Linked DNA regions of Oryza sativa Japonica Group. The main gene of each other region encodes a partner of the protein of the gene in region 4 in a complex. Links are inferred from orthologs where the notes say so. Each region holds a gene or a part of one and is shown on either strand. Other genes may lie near its edges.

What was found.
Region 1: protein PLASTID TRANSCRIPTIONALLY ACTIVE 10 (region 4) and protein PLASTID TRANSCRIPTIONALLY ACTIVE 12, chloroplastic-like share a complex: the UniProt entries of both Arabidopsis thaliana proteins name them as parts of the transcriptionally active chromosome (TAC) complex. The link is inferred for Oryza sativa Japonica Group from reciprocal best matches to the Arabidopsis thaliana genes PDE312 and PTAC12.
Region 2: the proteins of protein PLASTID TRANSCRIPTIONALLY ACTIVE 10 (region 4) and superoxide dismutase [Fe] 2, chloroplastic are in contact, whole or in part, in a cryo-EM structure (PDB 8XZV), measured with the Spinacia oleracea proteins. The link is inferred for Oryza sativa Japonica Group from reciprocal best matches to the Arabidopsis thaliana genes PDE312 and FSD3. Residues at the interface, in XP_021866326.1 of Spinacia oleracea: Arg80, Lys81, Trp84, Val85, Trp89, Pro91, Glu156, Leu158, Arg177, Asp178, Arg188, Glu192, Arg195, His198, Lys199, Ala202, Arg204, Tyr276, Pro277, Tyr314, Trp315, Glu329, Leu331, Arg346, Asp353, His354, Leu355, Leu356, Phe357, Arg359; in XP_021853685.1 of Spinacia oleracea: Tyr59, Tyr60, Gly61, Leu62, Lys63, Lys64, Pro65, Pro66, Leu100, Asp104, Leu106, Tyr107, Gly108, His109, Thr110, Lys116, Val117, Tyr119, Asn120, Tyr121, Gly122, Asn123, Glu142, Lys194, Ser204, Asn205, Arg258, Gln260, Ala261, Phe262.
Region 3: protein PLASTID TRANSCRIPTIONALLY ACTIVE 10 (region 4) and thioredoxin-like fold domain-containing protein MRL7 homolog, chloroplastic share a complex: the UniProt entries of both Arabidopsis thaliana proteins name them as parts of the transcriptionally active chromosome (TAC) complex. The link is inferred for Oryza sativa Japonica Group from reciprocal best matches to the Arabidopsis thaliana genes PDE312 and MRL7.
Region 5: protein PLASTID TRANSCRIPTIONALLY ACTIVE 10 (region 4) and protein PLASTID TRANSCRIPTIONALLY ACTIVE 14 share a complex: the UniProt entries of both Arabidopsis thaliana proteins name them as parts of the transcriptionally active chromosome (TAC) complex. The link is inferred for Oryza sativa Japonica Group from reciprocal best matches to the Arabidopsis thaliana genes PDE312 and PTAC14.

The regions. Positions count from the first base shown.
Region 1 is NC_089035.1:33,074,540-33,078,694, reverse strand, and holds the start of protein PLASTID TRANSCRIPTIONALLY ACTIVE 12, chloroplastic-like, read right to left. Parts: upstream 2,805-4,155; 5' UTR 2,667-2,804; coding exon 2,633-2,666; intron 2,557-2,632; coding exon 2,504-2,556; intron 2,382-2,503; coding exon 1,710-2,381; intron 824-1,709; coding exon 711-823; intron 340-710; coding exon 77-339; intron 1-76. UniProt on the Arabidopsis thaliana protein: Involved in plastid gene expression. Acidic transcriptional coactivator necessary for the transactivation of many PIFs target genes (class B genes), particularly during the regulation of hypocotyl growth.
Region 2 is NC_089040.1:2,412,993-2,417,202, reverse strand, and holds the start of superoxide dismutase [Fe] 2, chloroplastic, read right to left. Parts: upstream 2,802-4,210; 5' UTR 2,740-2,801; coding exon 2,668-2,739; intron 1,808-2,667; coding exon 1,724-1,807; intron 1,627-1,723; coding exon 1,438-1,626; intron 1,258-1,437; coding exon 1,086-1,257; intron 937-1,085; coding exon 863-936; intron 770-862; coding exon 743-769; intron 673-742; coding exon 649-672; intron 548-648; coding exon 422-547; 3' UTR 366-421; intron 149-365; exon of another isoform or gene 1-148. Other genes in the region: probable 1-deoxy-D-xylulose-5-phosphate synthase, chloroplastic, read left to right, coding at 3,579-3,743, 3,980-4,099, 4,189-4,210. UniProt on the Arabidopsis thaliana protein: Destroys superoxide anion radicals which are normally produced within the cells and which are toxic to biological systems. Plays important role in chloroplast development, particularly in the maintenance of thylakoids membranes.
Region 3 is NC_089035.1:36,100,855-36,104,901, reverse strand, and holds thioredoxin-like fold domain-containing protein MRL7 homolog, chloroplastic, read right to left. Parts: upstream 2,670-4,047; 5' UTR 2,588-2,669; coding exon 1,935-2,587; intron 1,659-1,934; coding exon 1,574-1,658; intron 1,481-1,573; coding exon 1,369-1,480; intron 1,190-1,368; coding exon 1,086-1,189; 3' UTR 1,015-1,085; intron 872-1,014; 3' UTR 501-871; downstream 1-500. UniProt on the Arabidopsis thaliana protein: Plays an essential role in early steps of chloroplast development. Involved in the regulation of plastid gene expression. May positively regulate plastid-encoded RNA polymerase (PEP) activity through binding to FSD3 and CITRX/TRXZ.
Region 4 is NC_089035.1:39,905,216-39,909,441, forward strand, and holds the start of protein PLASTID TRANSCRIPTIONALLY ACTIVE 10, read right to left. Parts: upstream 2,804-4,226; 5' UTR 2,756-2,803; coding exon 2,054-2,755; intron 1,065-2,053; coding exon 1,005-1,064; intron 914-1,004; coding exon 884-913; intron 786-883; coding exon 712-785; intron 619-711; coding exon 537-618; intron 299-536; coding exon 225-298; intron 86-224; coding exon 19-85; intron 1-18. Other genes in the region: putative ABC transporter C family member 15, read right to left, coding at 4,007-4,104, 4,220-4,226.
Region 5 is NC_089039.1:29,436,430-29,440,604, reverse strand, and holds the start of protein PLASTID TRANSCRIPTIONALLY ACTIVE 14, read right to left. Parts: upstream 2,802-4,175; 5' UTR 2,748-2,801; coding exon 2,484-2,747; intron 2,391-2,483; coding exon 2,253-2,390; intron 1,701-2,252; coding exon 1,575-1,700; intron 1,283-1,574; coding exon 1,154-1,282; intron 1,069-1,153; coding exon 979-1,068; intron 905-978; coding exon 754-904; intron 213-753; coding exon 103-212; intron 1-102. UniProt on the Arabidopsis thaliana protein: Essential for chloroplast development, especially for thylakoid formation. Involved in plastid gene expression, probably by maintaining plastid-encoded RNA polymerase (PEP) activity.

The DNA.
Region 1 (4,155 bases), about 6.8 Mb from region 4:
CATGTATAAATTCAGCAAAAGCGGCTTGTAGATGTCAATAATATAAAATGATCAGGATTGAGAAAAGAAGATATACTCTGTTTGATCTGGTCTTCCCGCATCCTCATTGCCAAAGGATCTCGTTGTATGCGAACATCAGTGCCCATCATGATACGGAATTCCCCAGCAGTTTGGTGTTGAAACATTGTTATAAGTTGAGTATTCTCATCTTCGCCAGTCTCCTCAAAGTGTTTCTGTACAGCTTCTCGTGAAGTGTCTTTGTTTTTATACGCTTCAACCCATTCCGAATAGTATGCTATTGGCCCTATTTCTTCTAGTCTCCTTTGTTCTGCTTCTAACCTGTGTTTTCATTGTATATCCAATATAAGAATGGACGGAAGGCAAGATAGAACTATATACCTTAAGAATACTGTGAAAATATCATGTTGAAAGGACGTTGTGTCAATATTTTTTTCTGCTGTCATAACAAGTAACATTGAAGTACAAACCAGCAGGTAGGCAACTAGACATAATAACATCCATCAAATATTTGTTATAAATCAACGAGGGGATACCAAAGGTCAGTTAAAGAGTCTACATAAGCTTAAAGAGTATCATTGCACATATGGTGAAGATATTAAAATTAAAAGCACGGTTTTCACATATGGTGAAGACCCACGAAAAGCAAAATCACTAAATTTTGAGAAAATAATTTCTAGTATTCAGCCAACCTTTCCTCTTTGAATAAATGTCTTCTTGCCTTGGCAAGAGCAGCTTCTGTTCTGGTAGGGTGGTCCCCAAATATTTTGATCTGCCCAGTTTCTGCCATTGCTTTTGCAAAGACCTACAATAATGAAATGAGTGTTACAATTTAAATTATAACTGACAAGACACAGAGCTGTAAGTTAGAAGAAACACTAATCTGAATAATGAAAAAGGTTAAAAACATCAACCAACAATATAGATTAAATTGATAAGCCATGTATAGGAAATGCCACATCTGCAAGCTGTGCACGTGTATCTACCAGGTGGTGGATTTAGTATGGGGGAATAGGCGTTCAACTGAGCCACACAGCTTTTAGGATTCGTGGAATAGAGATGACCCCAGAAGATCCTTATAAATGTTACCAGTCTAGGCTAATGAAGAACCTAATTCTGTCTGAACCCAAGATATATGGTTAAGTATTTCATCTCATTTTGAACTCCCAGAATAAAAATACCAGCTCATCACTGTGTACACTACTCTGCTTGCATCTTTTATACACTAGAAGATGCATACGATGATCATGACGACATTGTGTGGCTTCTGGAAATATTAGCACTACAAACACTATACTTTGGTTGGATATTTTGGCACACACAAAACTACATGTACTCCCTCCGTCCCAAAAATATAAGAACCTAGTACCGAATGGGATGTGTCCAACCAAAGTATATAGTATCCTGCGTCCCATCCAATACTAGGTTCTTATATTTTGGGACAGAGGGAGTACTACCTTAGTGTTTGTGCCTTGTGCTATCAAAATAGGGTATACGAAGACTAGCATACAAACAATTGAAACCCTCAAAATTGTGGTGTGGACATGCAGCAGGAGGAGTGGAGAATAAGAACCATACTGTGTACATCATATTCGCTACTAGGTTATGTTAACAAGTGACAATAGGCAGAAAAACTTAAGTAAAAAAGACTTATAAGTCATTTATTAAGTTCAAACCAATCAAGAACTAACCGTGTCAACATCTGGACGCCTCCTCTGCCATCTTGACCACATTTCATTTTCCTCAGACTTCCTCCTCCAGTTCCACCACAGCTCTTCACTAGATTTTGGTTCCCCTACAGACATTGCCTTCTGCGGGTCAACGAACGGGTGTGGCCGTCCCATCATCTTGTCCATCTCATATTCACTCAAATTTTCTTCCTTGGGCATCTCATAAACGACGTACTCATCCAATGAATCCTTTGTCTCCTCCAGTGTCTCATCTGATGAGGCCTCAATGGCCACAACCGACTCTCCCTCATCTCCACTGGTCTCCGTGCCTCTCCCTGCCGTCGCTGATGCTACCTGCTCCTTGTACCCTTTCCTTCTACTCCCGGGCTTCTTACCAAACGACGGTGTCCCAGCTGATTCCCCGACCGGTGCAGGTGCACGGGCAGCGCGTACGCGGGATGCAGTGCCCTCCGGCCAGTACTCCTGCCCAGGTATGCTTGCCCGAGCACCCGACGCCGGCTCGAGCTGGCCCGACGTGGAGTCGAAGTAACTGGAGTACGGTGGCGCCTCGATCTTAGATGGATCAAAATGGAGCGAGTCGTCCTTGACGCTCCTGATCCTGCCTCTTCGCGTTCTGCTCGACACACCAGAAAACAGCACCCTTCTCCGGTGAGGCAATCCAGCAAACACCTTCTGCGCACGCACCAAACACAAATCAAAATAAAAAAATACTCAGCACCCATGACAACTGGGAGCACGGGAACGCGGTAAAATTTCAGCAATTTTCTCGGGCATTCCGATGGGGGAGGAGTTACCAAGGACTGGAGGGGGCGAGGAACAGTCTGGGCGGTGGCCTGCGGCGCCATGCCTGCGGAGTATTGGAGGGAGGTGAGTTCGCTTGAGCCGTGCGAATTGGCGGTTGGAAATGAGGGGCGAGAGGTCACCTGGGAGGAGCCAAGTGCGGGAGCACGACGCCATGGCTCCGCCTCCGATGCTGCGGTTGGAACCCGAGGTGGACGAGAGAGAGCTAGGGGAGGGAAGCGGATGGGTTGAGCTCCATGGACGCGCACCGAAGTTCAGGTAGCCGGTTTGGTCTTCGGAAGGGGACAGGATAACAAGGAGAGGTTTTCGAAGAGGAACACGGGGTTTATCCGGTGGACTTCAAATTCGAATTTTTTTTATTTATAATTTTTTTTATTAAAAGTTTTACAAAAATAATTTTCCATTTTGAAAATTGACGGAAATAGTCGCCTACAGCCCTCTGGGAGGGCGATTTTTAAAAATCGCCCTCCCAGAGGGCGGCGAAAATGACGTGGCAGACGGCCGTTCGCTCTCGGGCGACGGCCGTCAACGAAATTTGCAGGCGGCCCCCTTGCCGCCCTCCGCGAGGGCGATTTTCTACTGTGCGGGGGGCCGCCTGCAAATGGGCGGCGGGGGGGGCATGGAATTTTTTCAGGCGGCCCCCTTGCCGCCCTCCGCGAGGGCGATTTTCTACTGTGCGGGGGGCCGCCTGCAAATGGGCGGCGAGGGGGGGCATGGAATTTTGCAGGCGGCCCCCTTGCCGCCCTCCGCTAGGGCGATTTTGCACTGTGCGGGGGGGCCGCCTGCAAATGGGCGGCGAGGGGGCATGGAATTTTGCAGGCGGCCCCCTTGCCGCCCTGGGGGAGGGCGATTTTTGCCTCCCCCCTATAAAGCCCAGCCCCTCCCCTGTGAAATTTCATTATATTCACTAAAAATCCAAAAAAACGAAAGAGAGAGAGAGGGGAGGGCAGCAGAAGGGAAGCGGCGAAGCCCTGCTGGTTCGCTCACTTCATCACAGGTATGCTCCCATACATCTTTTGCATTTGTACTAATATATTACGTTTGAGTACATATGTTGCGTTTTAGTTTTAGTTCCATATATTTTAGCAGATCTGTAGCACACAGCACATATGTGTAGATCCAGAGCATAGAATATAATAGTATGAATTGAGACATAGACAGTAGTGTTAATTGTAAGATGTAGTTTAGTTTGATCTGGAGAATGTAACCTACTTTTAGAAATTTAGAGAACAATATTGTAGAGAATGTAACTTAGGGCGTAGTACAGAAATGCGAGGTTAACGCAGTTATTGTTTTCATCAGGCACAATGTCAAGTAAGGTCACATTTCAGATAGTTCACGGTGAAGGAAATATTAGATTTGGTCCAGATGGTGTTGATCTGTCAGATTTTGTAATGACATCTAAGGGCATCGATAGGCCTGCGGAGAGAACATTTGAGTCAATTTATAGTTGGTTGTTGAGAGGATTTAGAATAGACCAAGAAGTCTACACAATGTCAGTATCTGTTGTAGTGAGTCGTGCAATAGAAGGTTATTTTTGGGAACTAATGCCGATGGACAGCACTGCTGCTTGGAGACGGTATGTGGAAATGGCTTTTGAACGGTCATGGCCCCTCGTTATATTTGTGTCGGTACAAGAGAAAGA
Region 2 (4,210 bases), on a different chromosome or scaffold from region 4:
ATGTATTGTCGATTTCTGTTTCTTTGAGGGCACTTGATTCTGTTTCTTAACCCAGCCGAAGCAACAGCATCAAGCGACATGCTCCCTGATACTCCCAGCAGCATGTGTTTAAATCTCAATCCCGATATTTGATTGATTGCCTCACGTGCTGTTTTTCAAGAGAAAACTTTTTTGTGTTATAAGATAATGTCCTAGGAGCATGATTTCTGGCATTGCTAATGCTGAAGATGCGTCATAGTTGAAAATAAGTCATCACCAAAAACTGAATGATTCTCTAGTTTCTTTTTGTATATATACTGAATGATGAACTACATAATTAAGCTGCATATGTACCAGATATGATGTTGCAAAATGCTGGATTTTACCTCATGATGAGAATACATGCATAGATATCTCTAGGTCATATCCATATCATCTCATATCATGCAACTGGGATATTTGGTTCACCAAGGTTCACAAAAGCCTCAGCGCGCATCATGCGTAGAGTGACAGTATCCCAAGAGACAAGATGGTCGATAAAGTTTGTAACATACATTCGCCTGTCATCCTGAAGCATCAAAAGGAAGCATCACCAGTGATTTATGATAGCTTAGTACTTGGTGAATTACAATTTTAGGTATAAGAAGAAAAAGAGGATCTAGAAAATACCTTGTAATCCAAGTAGTAAGCATGCTGAAACACAAAAGTAGATATGTCAATATTTAGCATAATGTAATATCTAAACGCAGTGTCATTTCCTTACCTCCCACAAGTCTAGATTGATGAGTGGCTGCAAGAGAAGAGGGCATGGAATGTCATCACAAAGGTTTATACTTGGGATGCTATTATTCTAAACATTTCAAAAGGAAATGAGAAAACATACAATATCACCAAGTGCAAGTGGACTGATGGCATTTTGTGTATGGACTACCGAAAATTTTCGTTCTTTTCTCTTCACTGAAACAAGCAAAAGATAGACCAGACGTGTATAAATCAGACTTTAAAAACTAAATTTAGATTGTAGAAACAACATTTCAGGAAGTCAGATTGAACCAACAGTGCCTGTACAGGCTGAACTTCAAAGAAAATGAAAATAAAAAACTTACAGACAAGCCAAACCCAGCCAGACCCCAAAAGTGATAATGCTGAGCGTATAAACTCTTCCCTAAAATTAGTAAAAGAGCCAAAATCCTTCTCTATCTGCTGCAGGACACCTCGCCCTGGTGACCCACCACCTTCTGGCTGCATTGATTCCCAGAAGAAGTGATGGTTCCATACCTGTATTTCAGAAGATTGAAAATTAGAACCATAATAAGCCTACTGCTCATCCTTTTTTCAGGCTTTCAGTTATGTGCAACAATTAAACATGTACACTGAAGCTATCAGGATGAAAATTTGATGGGTACAAATAAAATATCCAACTAATGGGGGAAAAAAGCCAAATAATAACAACATTACCTGTGCTGCATTATTATATTCTGGTAATGGGTTGCCGTTGTTGTATGCTTCTTTTATTAGTTCCTCCAGAGTGTACCCATAGAACATGCTGGTAGCAAGCTGCTTATTCAAGCTATCCACATAGTCTTGCTGATGCTTACCCCAGTGAAGTTCAACTGTCCTCTTGCTAATATAAGGTTCCAGGGCATCCTGGACACCATAGGACAAGCTATAAGTTAAAATCTTTTCCTTTTAAATGGCAGAATGTAATCTGTCGAGGCAATATTAACAGGTGAGGAGAACATACAAGTTTATACGGCGGAGTAGTGAGAGCGTAGTAAGCCACGACTTTTGAATACCTTCGAGATCTACAGCCCTGCCTTTGTTCTCTCTGCAACAAACAGAAGGCGTAAAGATTGCAACCAGCACTAAACATCATAGTCAAGGGCCCGTAGAATTACAAAAGCTGAGGTACAATCTTCAAAGCTTGTAATGTCATTCCAACTTCACAATAGAACATTGGTTGCTAAGCCCAGTGTCAGCGTGATACACACAATCCTAAGCTCTCTTTAGCATTGCTTGAGCACTACGCAAGCATGACACGGATTATCATGGAAACTGGCACAGTTCACCAAATTTAACACAAAGAAACATTAAACATCTTACACTGCATATGCACAGTGGAAGATGGAAGAAAAATGAGACGTGGCTGACTTACCGTGGTGAATACCAACAACATAGAGAAACGATCTTGTCTAACTACAATGAGATTATATGACACTACATAGACCCACCACCTATACAAACCTGTTCTTAAAAAACTAGGGCTTGAAAAATTACTCACAAAAGCTGAATATCCACCATAAAGGATCACTAACTTATCAAATAGTATATTGATTTGTAACATCACAGACACACATGATCTTTAGCGGTGTCATGTTTGAGACCGATAATAATATGGTACAAAAGATTATAGTGCCACTCATAATCAATTATTAATCGATTTAAAGTCCTCAAATTCGCACTATCCTAAAATCTGCAAGGAAAAAACCTGCAATGCCCTCGAATTCCAAACGTCTAACTCTTTGAAATGCCAGTGTCTCCCTTCCCCTTCCTATCCCTTTTATCAAATCTCAAGTCACAAATCGAAGAACAAGGCAGCTCGCCAAATGAGAAAGCTTCCAGCGAGCGCACGAGCAAGGGGCAGAAAGAAGAAGAAGGTATCCATGGGTTTCGCGACGAGGAGCTCACCGAGCGAAGCCGACGAGGCACCGCAGCCGGCGGCGAGGGGAGAACGCGGAGAGCGGAGGCGAAAGCCGCCATCTTTTCTTCTCCTCTTTCCTCTGCCGCGCTATCTATCCACCACCTCTGCAAAAGAAAAAATCGAAGCTTTTTTCTTTTTCACTTCGTCTCTATCTCATCCCAGGGGCAATCTCGTAAATTTACCCGAGCAAACCACTCCAGTGCCACTGGCAGTTGGGCCCCGCGAGTACGGACGAACAAGTTAACCGAATAATGAATGATTAGGAGAGACGTGATTAGTTTAGTAGCTAATCCTCTGTCAAATTAATCATCGTCCCCTTTTCTGCTCGGATTAATGCCTAACTAATCTGTCATGTCAAGAGCGCAGAGGAGCACTCCGCGTCCCAAATCCCAAACCGGAGCTAGGGTTGCTGCTGCTGCCACTCGCGAGCAGCAGCGCCCCCTCACGCTGAGCCGCCTCCGGCTCCCTCGCCGCCGATCCTGCGCGTGCGGCGGCGGCGGGTGGCCGGTTTGAAGGAGGAGAGGAGGTAACGGTAGATGGGTTCTTGGTTTTCTTTTGCCCCCCGCGGCTATTTCGGTTTCTAGTGGAAGCTGGTTGCCTGTGGTGTAAATTGGGGATTACGGATTTTGGCCGTCTGATTCTCCATTTTAGCTGTCCCTGGATGGATAGATGAGTTTGCTGTTTGTAGCTGATTCTTGGTGTGGTGTCATTCCAAGGACTGATACTTGATTGTGTGCTCATCTTCATCTAGAACACTGAAAACATATGTGGATAATTGTTTATGATGAATTTAGGATCCAGTGATCTCTCCATGTTTATTTTTAGAAAAAAAATAAGTTTCTCACAGGCTAAAGAATACTGTAAATTTCAGGCTTTTGGTCGTCACTCCTTGCGCAGGATGGGTGGGAGATATCTGCATTCTCCACCTGCTGTTAATTTAATCTGTGAGGAATCAACTTTTGTGCGCTCAACAAGTTGCTGTCTCCACTCTTGTCTGTGTTTGAGATGCAAAACATCGAATTTGAAGCCATGTCGAACACTGGTGTTCAATATGCCATCAAGGGTATGTTCTTTCTCCATATCTGCAGTACACTGTGCAGACAAGGCTAACATTTTAGCTTCAGGGTAGATATTTAGTCCCACAAAGAATAAAAGAATGAAGTACATTGTGTGAGCTTTAGTCGCAGCCTGCCAGAATTTGATAACTATTTCACTAGGGATACATTTGTGGCCGGAGAAGGACTCTGAACTTTGTAGTCTCATACTCACAGATGGTGAATGTTCTCTCTTTTTGTACAGCGCTTCAATAGAAGAGTGGCTGCGCTGCCAGATGTCGATGATTTCTTTTGGGAGAAGGATCCAACTCCAATCCTGGACACGATCGATGCACCCATCCATTTGAAAAATCTATCTAGTAAGGTCGTCAGTCATACTATCTTAAGCATAGTAGCATACTCTCTAACTATGTTATGGCTGAGGAATTTTTGACAATTCCCATTGAAAGACAGGAGTTAAAGCAACTAGCTGGTG
Region 3 (4,047 bases), about 3.8 Mb from region 4:
GTACCTTTGATCAGAAATTGCATTTTGCATTCCTTTTGGAGCACTCAAAACCAGTGGCAGATTGTTCATGATCTCTCTTATGCGGACAGTCTACTATTAAAGCTCTTGTTATGACAAACTTAAATATATCATTTTCATATACCCAAAACCTATAGTTCAAGTTATTTTTATAGATGGAAACACCCAAAACATATACTTTAATTTATTTTATAGCCAAACTTAACTTATGCTGACTGGACGCATTCTCAAGCGACTTGTTTTTGAGACCGGGGGAAGCATTGCCATCCCATTCTCATGGGAATTTGGAGCACAACTATACCCCCTTTGCCACCCAAGATAAAAAAAGGGGGGCTAACCAAAGAAAAGAGTATCTGAAAGCAGTTCCACAAGATGAGATTGTTCTACCAAAATGACCCTATAATGCATGTATGGTATGTCTTGTATCGTTCTCCATCCAACAAATTCAATTACGTCACTGAAAAATAATCAGAGGAGTTATAAGATGACAAATGGGTTGACCCCCCTGCCTTCATTTTGCATCTATGGCGTGAAATGACATTACACTACGCCTCAAAAGTTTACAATCGACTTTACAACCTCCTTAACAGGATGGCCACGCAGATAATTAAGCTAGCATTCCCTCCTGTTCTATCTAGAAATTTGATGAACTGTATGTTTTGTTAGAGTACAGTACAAAGGTGAAAGTGTACAGCTAAAAACATGAGCATACCAAAATATATGACATAGTTGATACCTGACCCCCTCCCAACTTGAGATGAGCCAGTAAGAGGTTTCTCTCCTTCCTCTTCAAGTGATACATTTATTACAGATACAAGCATCATAACCACACTGGTCTATTTAGACTATTTTCCTGGCAAATAAAGTTAGCAAAATTAATAATATTCTCCCCTGAACCAGGTACTAATACAGAGAAAGGACATTAAAGAGAACAATGACCAGTATAGAATACAGTTTTCTAACGGGGAACAGGTTATCATTGGATGAAAAGCTTACCACAGTGTACACTCACCAAGAGTTGAGAATTAAGGCACTGTCTCAATACATAAGCGCTGAAATGCAGGAGATTAGCACGGAGGTGCAATAGCTTCAGGATTAACACAAGATGGTCTCTTTGCATTGTAGTAGAAATGGGCAATCATTTGAACTAGTTCGTCGGCAGTTCTTAGTTCTGTAAACAAGCAAATGAGGCAATCAGGTGTTGTCAGAGTGGCAATTTTGACCATTGAAAAAGGTGGGCCTAACATGAAAGTGCATATTAGCAATCAAGGAATTTAATAATTCAAAGTTCCATTCAATTTGTTAACTATGTGAACAGGATTTACCATAAAAATGGAACTAACTACTCACCTTTTTCCCTGTATAATATCTTGTTTCCCCTGAGGAATAATAATTGTGGGCATTCTTTTACTTGAAGTGCAAATGCCAGGTCTCTCTCAATATTCATATCAACCTTCACTGTCTGGAACTCAATTAAATTTAGCATATGACCAACCACCTCAATAACCTTACCGTAATACATCAAGTATTAACTATAAATATGATTCACACTGACCCGAGGAGGTAGCCGATCTTTACTATTCCAGTAAACTTTAGCCGCCTTTTCCAATTCTTGAAGAAACTTCCAATTGTCAGCTGCCCTATAAACAAAGGCAAAACATTACGCGTACATATCATCCTGTCATGGAAGTAGAACACCTAATTTTCTGAGGCAACTCAAAACGATAGTACATTTTTACATTTTTATGCATTACTTCAGGGGTAGTTCTGAACTTTTGATTCAATGGATTCAAAATTATCAGATATGACAATATAAAGTGAGAAGCTTGAAGTTTATGAAGTTTATCACTTTGGTCCTAACATATAGGTACTATGGGTTCACATGAATAGAGTCTGGGTAGAATAGTGATTTATACCTGTTGTAGCGCTCGAAGACAAGAACGATGAGGGGGCTAGGGTGGAAGGCGAAGCTCTCCCACTCCAAGCAGTTGATCTCTTTGACCCATCCCTCCTCGACCTCCCTCTCCCAATCGATCTCCACACCATCCACCGTCACATTCTTGATGGAATGCTTGTCAAAGTACTCCGACGCCCGAATCCCCCACCCGATGTCGGCGTCCAGAGGCCAGGAGGGATCCTCCTCCTCAACCACAGCCTTCAGCTCCCCCTCTTCCTCACCAGTCCCCTCTTTTCCCTCCTCGTCGGAGAGCTCCTCCTTTCGCTTCAAGATGTCGCCCTTGCCTTCGAGGACTTCGGGGTCGCGCTCCCGGATGGAAGCGAAGACCTGCTCGAGGCGGCCACGCACGAAGTCCTCCACCGCCGCCGCCTCGCTCCGGCGCCCGCGGCGCGGCTTGCGGGGCTTGGTTGTGGGGAAATCGGGGGTGTCGTCGCCTAGGTTCTCGTGGCTGGTACGGGGCTCGGGCTTGGGAGGCCGTGGTGGTGGCGGCGGCGGGGCGGAGGAGGCGAGGAGGCGGCTGGGGTGGTGGCCATGGCGGCGGCCGTGGATGGGGTTTAAGCCGGTGGTGGGAGGCGAGGGTTTTAGGGGGAGGAGAGTGGGAAGACGAAGCATCACGGCGACGAAGTTCACCGGCCTTCGCGCGGCGCTCGTCTTTCACCGTTCTTTCCTGCCCTATCCGAATTGGTGCATCACTGCATCTACCGAGCTACGGGCTACTAGTCGGCCCACTACATTGGTCTTATTACAAATTTGGGCACAAATCCGTGTGATATGTGCTATCGGGCCGGGATTCCTCTTCTCCTGGTGGTGTTGGTATCCGGCCCAATGCATGTGCTCCCAGTCGGGAACTTGAGACCAAGCCCAACTACCTGACGTCAGCGGTTGACGTAATGACGGTGCTAGCCAGGCGCTGTCGACGTCATTTTCCTCCGTGCGGAGGAGGCGCTGTCGATGAACACGCGCGTGGCGTGTCAGGGCAGCGCACCTGGGCTCGTCCAGGCGCGCGGCGGCGATCGATCGATCCGCGGGCGTCAGGCGCGCGTCGCCCGGCCGGCACTGGGTCCGTCAAACTGGAGTATATACTAGTACTAGCTCTGATCCACCGGGCTCCCGCACCGTGCTGCGCTCTTGTCTTTGCGCTCTTGCTTGTCCCACTTAACGCGATCGGTGCAGGTAGCGCAGCCGCATCCCCTGTCTGTCCCTCCACCGGCGAAGAACGGCCGGTGCGTTAGACGATGGAAGCTTGATTAAAACGGATGGCTAATCGCGATCGATTCGGCGGCGAATTTAAGGCGCTCACCAGTACGTAGAGGACGAATACGGGTGTTTGCGTACTAGTATTCCCCTATTCAAAAAATTAGAATTTCAAAGGCAAAGGAAATTCGTGGAGGATGGAACAGGGAGCATCTGCCGTACCAAACAGCTATAGATGTGATACTACTGAAAATCTGAACATAAGTATTAATACATATTACATCCCGTAGTAGATCCTATAATAAATTCGTTTATTTTGAGATGCAGGGAATAGTATGTAACTATCTATTAGCCATCCTCTGCACTACAGTGAATGTAAAACAATAACAGAAAAAAACTAAGAGATCAACACACTATAGCTACGGTGTTTTCTCAATATTCACTGCATTAAACAAACTGTGGTGGGCACAGCTATAGTGCTTCTCCGCAGTACTGTCGACGATCCATGTCCCTGGAGGATTACGCCTACCGTCAGTACAGCAGCCGACCGACGATCACTTACCGATCACACGTATCACTGTGTCAGCTATTGATGATGGCGCTGGATACAATGGATTATGAAATATATTAATCATCCGAACATATGCTCAATTGCAATTACTTGTATTTTTTGGCAGTTTAATTTTCTGCTCAAACGTGGAGTGTATATGAATTATTAATTAGCATTAATTTGTACTCATTCCATCCAAAAAAAACTCAACCTAGAAAGGGTCAGGGAGTAGAACTCTAGCTTCTTTCCGTAGTTTATGTAGATAGTACTAGAAGGTTAGAATTAGAAAAGATCGAGATGAGAAAGTGACATCTGAACTGTTGAATCT
Region 4 (4,226 bases):
GGAGGACAGAGGTCACACCCACAACTGCTCTGGGTTAGTATCTTCCTTGCGGTGAAATATTGGTGGATAGTCGAACCTATTGAATCTGCGGTTAGAAAGAAAAATAAGATGACAAACAGTTAGTCAACTAAAAACAAACTGAAGAAATGCACAAGACACAGGGCACTGAAACCTCCAGATTGTCAGAAATCATTGGCACACGCATTTCAAATGATGATACTCACATTAGATGATCAATGTTAGGATATACAAAGCGCATTTCGAGTGGGAAACGGAAGCGGTAGGGATCTCGTTTGGCCTGCATCATACAGTTATACAAGCTCCATTAATTAATTAAAGAAATTTCCACAACTCAGGCAACAAAGGAATAAAACTTTTTCTATGAAAAATAAATTCATTTTCAGTTAATGCAAATTGAAAAGACACAATTGGCATATTCACTTAGCAATGCGAACTTCTTAAATATTTCCTTAATCTTTTGTATTGCTGCCATCATATCATTAACCACTGTAAGAGTGAAATTTGAGATCACTAACCAGAATCTCTACATGGACTTCCATGCCAGGTCTGATGTGATGACGGATCCAATACCAATCATTTCCTTTTATTGGTACCCACCTAAACAAATAATGAGATGTAAATGGCACGCAGAATTCTTTCACAAATAAGTATACCAGGTCCACAATTGTATATCAGAACAAGAAACCATACCCATCATGAACACAACCGATGTCCACAAAAGCTCCCTGATAGAGGTGAACACTGATCACTCGACCACGACAGATCTGCATGAGATGCATTCAACCAAACAATCAGAATTTAAGGGCGAGAACAGTCAACAAATTGCTGAAGAATGAGAGTACAATCAGAACTTCTAGCAAACCTGTCCAGGATAGAAGAACGGGAGTTCAAGCTGCATAAAAGCAATCAAGACATCAGGAACTAATAATATCAAGAAATTAAAATTGACCAGGCAGTGAATTGTCAAGAGGTAATGAACATACCATGTCCTCTTTGTAGTCCTCACCTCTTTTCCGTCTGCCAGGGTAGTAATCCTGATCAAACTGCACGACAAAAATAGCCAAAGAGGGGTATTACCGCCTAGAACACTACAAATACTCTTAAAGATGACAAGTGAGACTCAACCCCTAAACTAAAGGTCTAAACCAACAAACAAAGCTTAGTTACAGGAGATAAAATCAACCCATGGTTATCTGACGTGCCTCTCTCTGAAGAGAGCATAAAACAGACAATACCGAGCCACTCAAATGAATAACAAAACAACTTGCCAACATCGAACCTAAGAGTTTAGGACACAGGTGTTCATGACGTACAAGGAAATAGGCATCTGAGGGGGTTCTGAACACCATAACAGTTTTTTTTTTTGGGTCGAAAAGGAACTTTTTTTAAGTGATAAGAAAATACAATAATAGTAGAGGGCCGCTACAAAAGGGGATCCCGTTGCAACGGGATAGATATATTAACTATTCTCTTGCACGAGTATCACAGGTATCAGGTCCTAGGTATCACAGGTACCGGGTAACAGGTATCACAGGTATAGGGTACCATGCAGCTGGTACCACAACAGGTATTAGGTATTAGGTAAGTCTCATATAAGGGTATCCCGTTCCAACGGGATACCGTTGTCTAGGTTTTCTGATAATAGTAGACTGTTCATACAAATGTAAAATACTTTTATTAAGATATCACAAATTCACAATAAACCACTGCAGTAATCACTAAAAAGGTTTATTTTCAACTATCTAGTTATTACCAGAATAATGATTTTGGACTACTGTTACATTCTACAGGTATTTCTTCCATCCTTTGTGAACTTATCACCTCTGATAATTATCATAGTAATTAGCAGCATGCCAACACGTTCCATAACCAATGTGAACTGAAGCAATTGGTCTGCAGATATCTAATTACAGGCACAGACCACTAAAGCATGAACACTTCTACATCTAACTAACACAATGCACAGTCAAACGCAAATTCCCAGTTAAATCAAACCATCACACAAATGATCGAACAAAATTAACGGCTTTACCTTGTAGGACTCCTCCTCCAACCTGTCCCGATTGGCTTCCACCCATTCCTTGTACTGCTTCAAGAACATCTTGTATCGATCCAGCCCCAGATCATCCGGCGCGTTCTCCACCTTGTCCACGTGCGTCACCCCCTTGGCCGCCACCGCCGCCATGTCCAGCCTCTCCGTGAACTCCCTGTGCGCCTCCCTGATGAACTCCAGCTCGCCGGGGTCCACCTCCCACCCCGGCGGCGGCCAGTCCCGCGGCGGCACGAGCCGGAGCGGGAGCTCGCCGGCCCACGAGGTCTCGAGGGGCTCGGGCGTGTCGCGCGTGGCGAAGAGGCGCTCCTCGTACCCGGGCTCGGACTCCACCTTCTCCCGGTACGCCGGGGTGAGCATCCGGAACGCCTCCTGCGACTCCGGCGTCTGGAGCGGCACCTCCTCCCCTTCGTTGAGGCTGTGCCGCGCGAACGCGACCTCGGGGGTCATGATCTCCTCCCACGGCGCCCACCCGTGCTCCACCCAGCTCCGGCGGCGGGCGACGTCCTCGGGCTCGGTGTTCTTGACGAGGATCGAGGGGATCACCGGCGGGTCATCCGCGGGGGTCTCGTCGGGGCCGGAGGGGGAGACGGAGACGGCGATGCGGCGGAGGCGGCGCCTGAGGAGGGGCTTGGGGCGGAGGCCGAGGTGCGGGAAGGTGGCGGTGGCCGGAGTGGCCGCCATTCTTGCTCGGGTTTTGGGGACGACGGCGTCGCCGGCGGTGGCGACGTCGAGGGGTTTAAGTGAGCTGAAACAGGAGAGGATAAGGCAGGTCGTGGGCCCCACATGTCAGTGAGAGATTCAGTCCTTTTGCTACAGTATAATGGCCCATGAGATGAGAAGGCGGAGGCCCAACTAGGCCCACCAAAATTTGGATTTCCGTCCGATTGGGCCTTACAACGAATTCACCACGGCGACGCAGACCAATGCCGCCGCCGCCGCAGCGGCGGCGGCGGTGGCGGCGGCGGAGAGAGAGCGAGACAGCGGCGGTGGAACGCGCAGGCTGGCGGCGGCGGCGGCGGTGGCGGCGGAGAGAGAGCGAGACAGCGGCGGTGGAACGCGCTGGCCAGCCTGCTTTCGCGTTCGGCCGTGCGTGCGGGTCCGTGGGAGGGAGGGGAGCTGGAGCTGGTGGGGGAGGGCGACCGTGTAATGGAGCCGTGGGGCGTTTTCAAGTGCTCGCCAACTGTTCGACCTTTTGCCTCGCAGGGCGTACGCTCGGTATGGACTCCCTCCCAACCCGCCCCGCTGTTTCTGATCGTAGCATTTAGGGACCATGGATTTGTATTTCCAATTACTTTCTGATCTGCCAGCTTCGGCGTTTTTTTAATGCATATTGTGCATCAGTGCTTGTGGAGTAGAAACCCGGTATTCTTAAACTGGTGGGAGGAGCTGTAGGCGCTGCTCTTGATATGTTTCTGTTACCTGGAAATTCTGATGTGCTAAAAACCGATCCATGTGTTATTTCAGCAAATATGGTGGCATGGAAATAGGAGCTATGCCCCTTTTTGTTTACAAAATCAAACTATAGGGTGGCATCGTACTGTGACAACCAATATAAAAAATACCCCGGTTATCCAAACAAATCAACAACGAATGATTTGGTGAATATAATTAAGGCTACAATTTATTTTGATCTAGTAGTTGGTGGAAAAGAATATGAATCTATCTAAGATCACTTGCATTGCCAATATAATATGAACACCATTCAGCAACTGTCCAATTGGTAAGGGCTAGATCAGGAAAAGATCAGTATCTAATGCTAGCATAGTCTTCACTTAAACCAAAATTTCCTTCTGTACTTCTGATGCCTGCTGTCCACTCGTAAACCTTCTTCATGCCCTGTTAGTTTCAATGTTGATAAATACAAGTCTAGATGGAGTTAAGTAGGTTGGTGGCTGCTTGATATCTCTATGTTAACTCTGGTTGATGTCTACCCTATGATGATCTTCCCACGAATTCCATCACCAGCTTTGAGAAAGCTGATGATTCATCTCTGAGGAGATTTTCTGGAGAATCAAACTCTAGTATCTTACCTGCAGTACGAACAATAAAAAAGGTACTTCCATCGCTTAATATAGTTTTTTATAAATTAGAATTGCTTTTGTTGAACCAAAGGAAAAACATGGGTTATTCGTGGATATCTTTTACCTTCACC
Region 5 (4,175 bases), on a different chromosome or scaffold from region 4:
AACTTTCCATGCAAATAAGGAATTTTTAATTATAATATAACATTAAACTAGTCGCTCTTTGCTCACAAGGAAGCTAATTGTACTCTAAGCTCTAAACAGTACCTCATCTCCTTTTTTGACAGCATGCCCAGCCTTAATCATGACTTCAACCATACGATCTTTGAAACGCCAATGCAGGAAACAATTAGCATCAGGTGAATGATTCAGCATATCTGGAGACAAATAGGCAAGCTATAAGTTATGATGAGACTCAGTATCAGTAATCAGAAGCTAGAATATGCTGATTATCAGAACAGTATAGTTTTGAATTTCATGCCTTTGTGATAATTATTAAGTAATTCAATGTAACTATACTGCCTGACTAGAACGTCTAGAAGGAATAAAGCGTAGTATTGGTGTGAAAAATGACAATAGATATTAGTTAGATCCTTATTCCAACAGAGTTTAACCATACAGAAGTAGTGCTGATATTAGAAAATATAATATCTTGGATCAGTTGGTAACTATGATTTACTGTGCAAGTAACATTAGCGCTATAACATTATAAAAACCTTTATAGCATTCGCCAGCTCAAAATAAATGGAGCAAAAGATCCCTCAGACCGCAGCCTTGACTTAGACTGTTAGACATCTGATTATCATCGCAAGCTGAAGAAACTAAGTGATTTTATTCTTAATTTTAGTAATCGGTGCTTAATACACACTGAAAATAAAAATAAAGAGCATAAAGGGGAACAGATAAGAAAACATGTACCAGCATACGGCACTAGGACATTTGCATCTTGGAGGAAGGCTCCCATTCTCAGTTTCAAATTGACAGAGCGAGACTGAACAATACTCAGTGCCCATAGAAATCTTTCATGGTCAGGGGCAAGACGCTTTAGCTTTAGAGGGATTGTTTTATGCTGGACATTACCCATCAAGCTAGTGTTAGATGTACCCAAGCCAGCGAAGTTGATCAAATAGTACAGAAGTGTACCCAATGTTTTTGCCAAAAATCAATTGCTCTCTTCTGGTTCTTTAACATTTTCGTGGCAAGATCTTGGTCTTCTAGTTCCATTAGATCGTCCTGGCAAGCCAGGCATGTAAATTCATTCAAACTGTATTGTCAGGTTTAAGAAGACTACAATTCATTTTGTTTAGATTTACAATACCTTTGGTGCCAAAAGCAAGCTAGTGCATTCATCAACACTAGGCAAAAAATCACCATATAGCTGCCAAAAGTTGTCTTCTACATCAAATGCATAGAGAAGAAGGCAAGCTAACCTTAGATCCCAATCTGTCTGCAAGAGGGTACAGATTGCGTTAGGATGCAGTCTACATCACTTATGAAGCTTTGACACCGCATGAAGGAAGAAAACAGGTTGCAAGTGTTGAGTAATACCATCCCTTTTATCCAATATAACAGCTTATTTTCATAGTAGATGGAATGGGCAGTCAAAGCGCTATTGAATCTTAATTACACAATGTTCCTCATAAGTGATTCTGTAGAAACTAAAAAACACAAACTCTGGAATGCACATACAGTCTTCACTGGAACATACCATAATTAGAGGGTTAGAGGGCTCCATTTACCTCAGGATCTGTTGATTCAATGATGTCAAATATGGGATGGCCTAGTGGAATAATGTCGGGGAAAAACATCCAAGGGCGTTTTTGAGTTATAGTCAGCATCAGCTCCAATGGAATCTCCATAATCACCTGATAAAGTGAAATGAATTTTTATATATATGCCAAGAAGATTATGCATAAGTGTGTGATTAAACTTAACTAGTTCTTAAAAAGTAGTGAACACACGAGCAAGCTGCCTCATGATTTCTGAAATAGAACAGTTCTATGTGGTATATTAAAGTGAAGCACTAGCAAGCTTTAGTTGCATCCAGAAACTGAATGTGAGCAGTCCTTACACCATATTTGATTATTTGCATAGCATTATAAAAGGCAGCAGAAGATATGTAAGCGTAAAGTACCTAACAAATTCAAAGATTGACTTCATTTCGTACTATTCAGTAGAATTCATATTTGTTCTGATAGTAGGACATACATACGCTAACCAACTAGCAGTAAATGGTAAAGTAACAACCACAGAATGTAGACCATATATATGTACTGGAGTGGAGTGAGTACTGGCTGTGGCTGGCTCTACATTGTACTTGTACATGCTATTTGTAATGCCCCTTTGTAAGTATAGTACTTATGTCCAATTGCAGTGAATTGGAAAGATAATGATGGGATAGTTAAAGAAAGGCTCACTCTAGCTCTGCGGAGTGGGTCGACGTCCCGGGAGGCATAGACGGCCATCCCATCGGGGCCTTCCAAGAACTCAACCCCGTACGCCCGCATCATCCGCGCGTACCCTATCCGGTAGAAGTCGGGGTCGGCCGGCTCCATCTGCACACGACGACATTGTTCATCATGCATGCATGCGCGCGAGCAGAAGAGATGTGAGCAACGGAAGCAACTAGGCGGGAAGAGATTGAGCACCTCGGGCGGGAAGGGGTCGTCCTCCTGGGGCGGTTCGAGGAGCCTGAGCGGGGGGGCATCGTCGTCCTCTTCCTCCTCGCCGACCTCCTCCGCCGCCGGTGGGGGTGCCGCGGGAGGCGGGTCCCGGAGGCGAGGGCGTCCGGCGCGGGGAGGCCGCAAGACGAGGCGGCGGGCGCAGGGAACGGCGCGGCGAGGCGGGAAGGTGGAGGCCGGGAGGGGGAGGGGGAGCGGCAGCAGGAGAGGGGAAGCGGCGGGAGTCGCCATGGGTGGCGATGGGGATAGGAAGCGCACCTCCTGCGATGGAAGAATACGTTATCTACTGCTGCGATGGACGAGACGAGATTTTAGCCCATTCAAATGAATGGCCCATGGGCCTTAAAATCTATAACCTCGCGAGGAATAAGTGTATATTAGCTCCCTTATCGTTCGCTCCTAATTGAATCACCTCCCTCAACCACACAACCTGGTATAGCGCATCTCCCATCTTCAAAAACTGATACAAATTAACTCCTTTATGGTTTGGAAAACGGTTTTCTCTAACGTGGTAGGTTGACCGTACTTGACTCGTTGAGTTAGCAGGTAGAACTCACATGTCAGCAACTTCCTCCTCATCTTGTTTTCTTCCTCACCTTCCCTCTATCTCTCTTTCCTCTCTTGTGGGCCTCGTTGGGTGGCGACAACAGAGTGAGTGACAGCGGTGGAGAGTCGAACCCGAGGAGAGCGGCAGTGGTGACGACTGACCAGCCGAAGCCCTACTCTCCTCTAGTGACCACAGCAAAGGCCAGCCAAGGGCCTCATATATTATCTGTCTTGACTGTAAGGAATACATCGATGAGATTCTCGGAGATAGTTTTTTCTTCTATATTTTAATATAAAGGTTCTAATATATCCAGCAGAGCTCCTGCCGTTCAATGTTTTTAAAAATTAATATCAGGGTTGACCCATTCATTCGTAAAAAGATTCAGAGTTTACAAGATCCTTTATACAACCAGGGATACATTGTTAGTAAACCAAGTGAACAGCAAGCTAGCTTGTTCTAGCTAACATATGAACCACCTCATCAGCTCTGCGGCTTATGGCTTACGCTTACATGAACAAAAGAAACTTAAGTAAAACATCTTGCCAATGATTTCATCTCAGCAGCAATAAAGCCCGTTAAGGACCTATCTCTGGCAACAACATTCAACTTTGAGGCAGGGGAGGGAATCAATTAATCTTGTTTCATACCAATATTATCTATCTATCTATTTTTATCTTTTTAGAAATCTATCTATCTATCTATGTGCGCGCGCGTTTTGTGCTCAGAAGGTGATGGCAGATCTGTTCTAATCGAGAAAACCATGTGGAACATATATTAAGATCATGTGGAGAAGAAAAAAGAAAGAGAGAACAATAAAGGATTCTATTATCTAGTCATATACTCATATATGAAGAAATTAAGATTTTTAATATTATTATAACATTATTCCAAAAAAAATATTCTTATATCAGTGTCCATACGATGGTAAATATAGATATTATATGGCACCTAAAAACAATAGATGCACTACATATATATAATTTGTTGTTTTTGTGTATTTAGACCGGGAATACGTTTACTGAAAGAGAGAGATACATGAAAACATATGCACATTGTATTGTTGTCTGAAAAAATTGTCACTGCTACACTATCCGTTATAAGACAATTAGAAA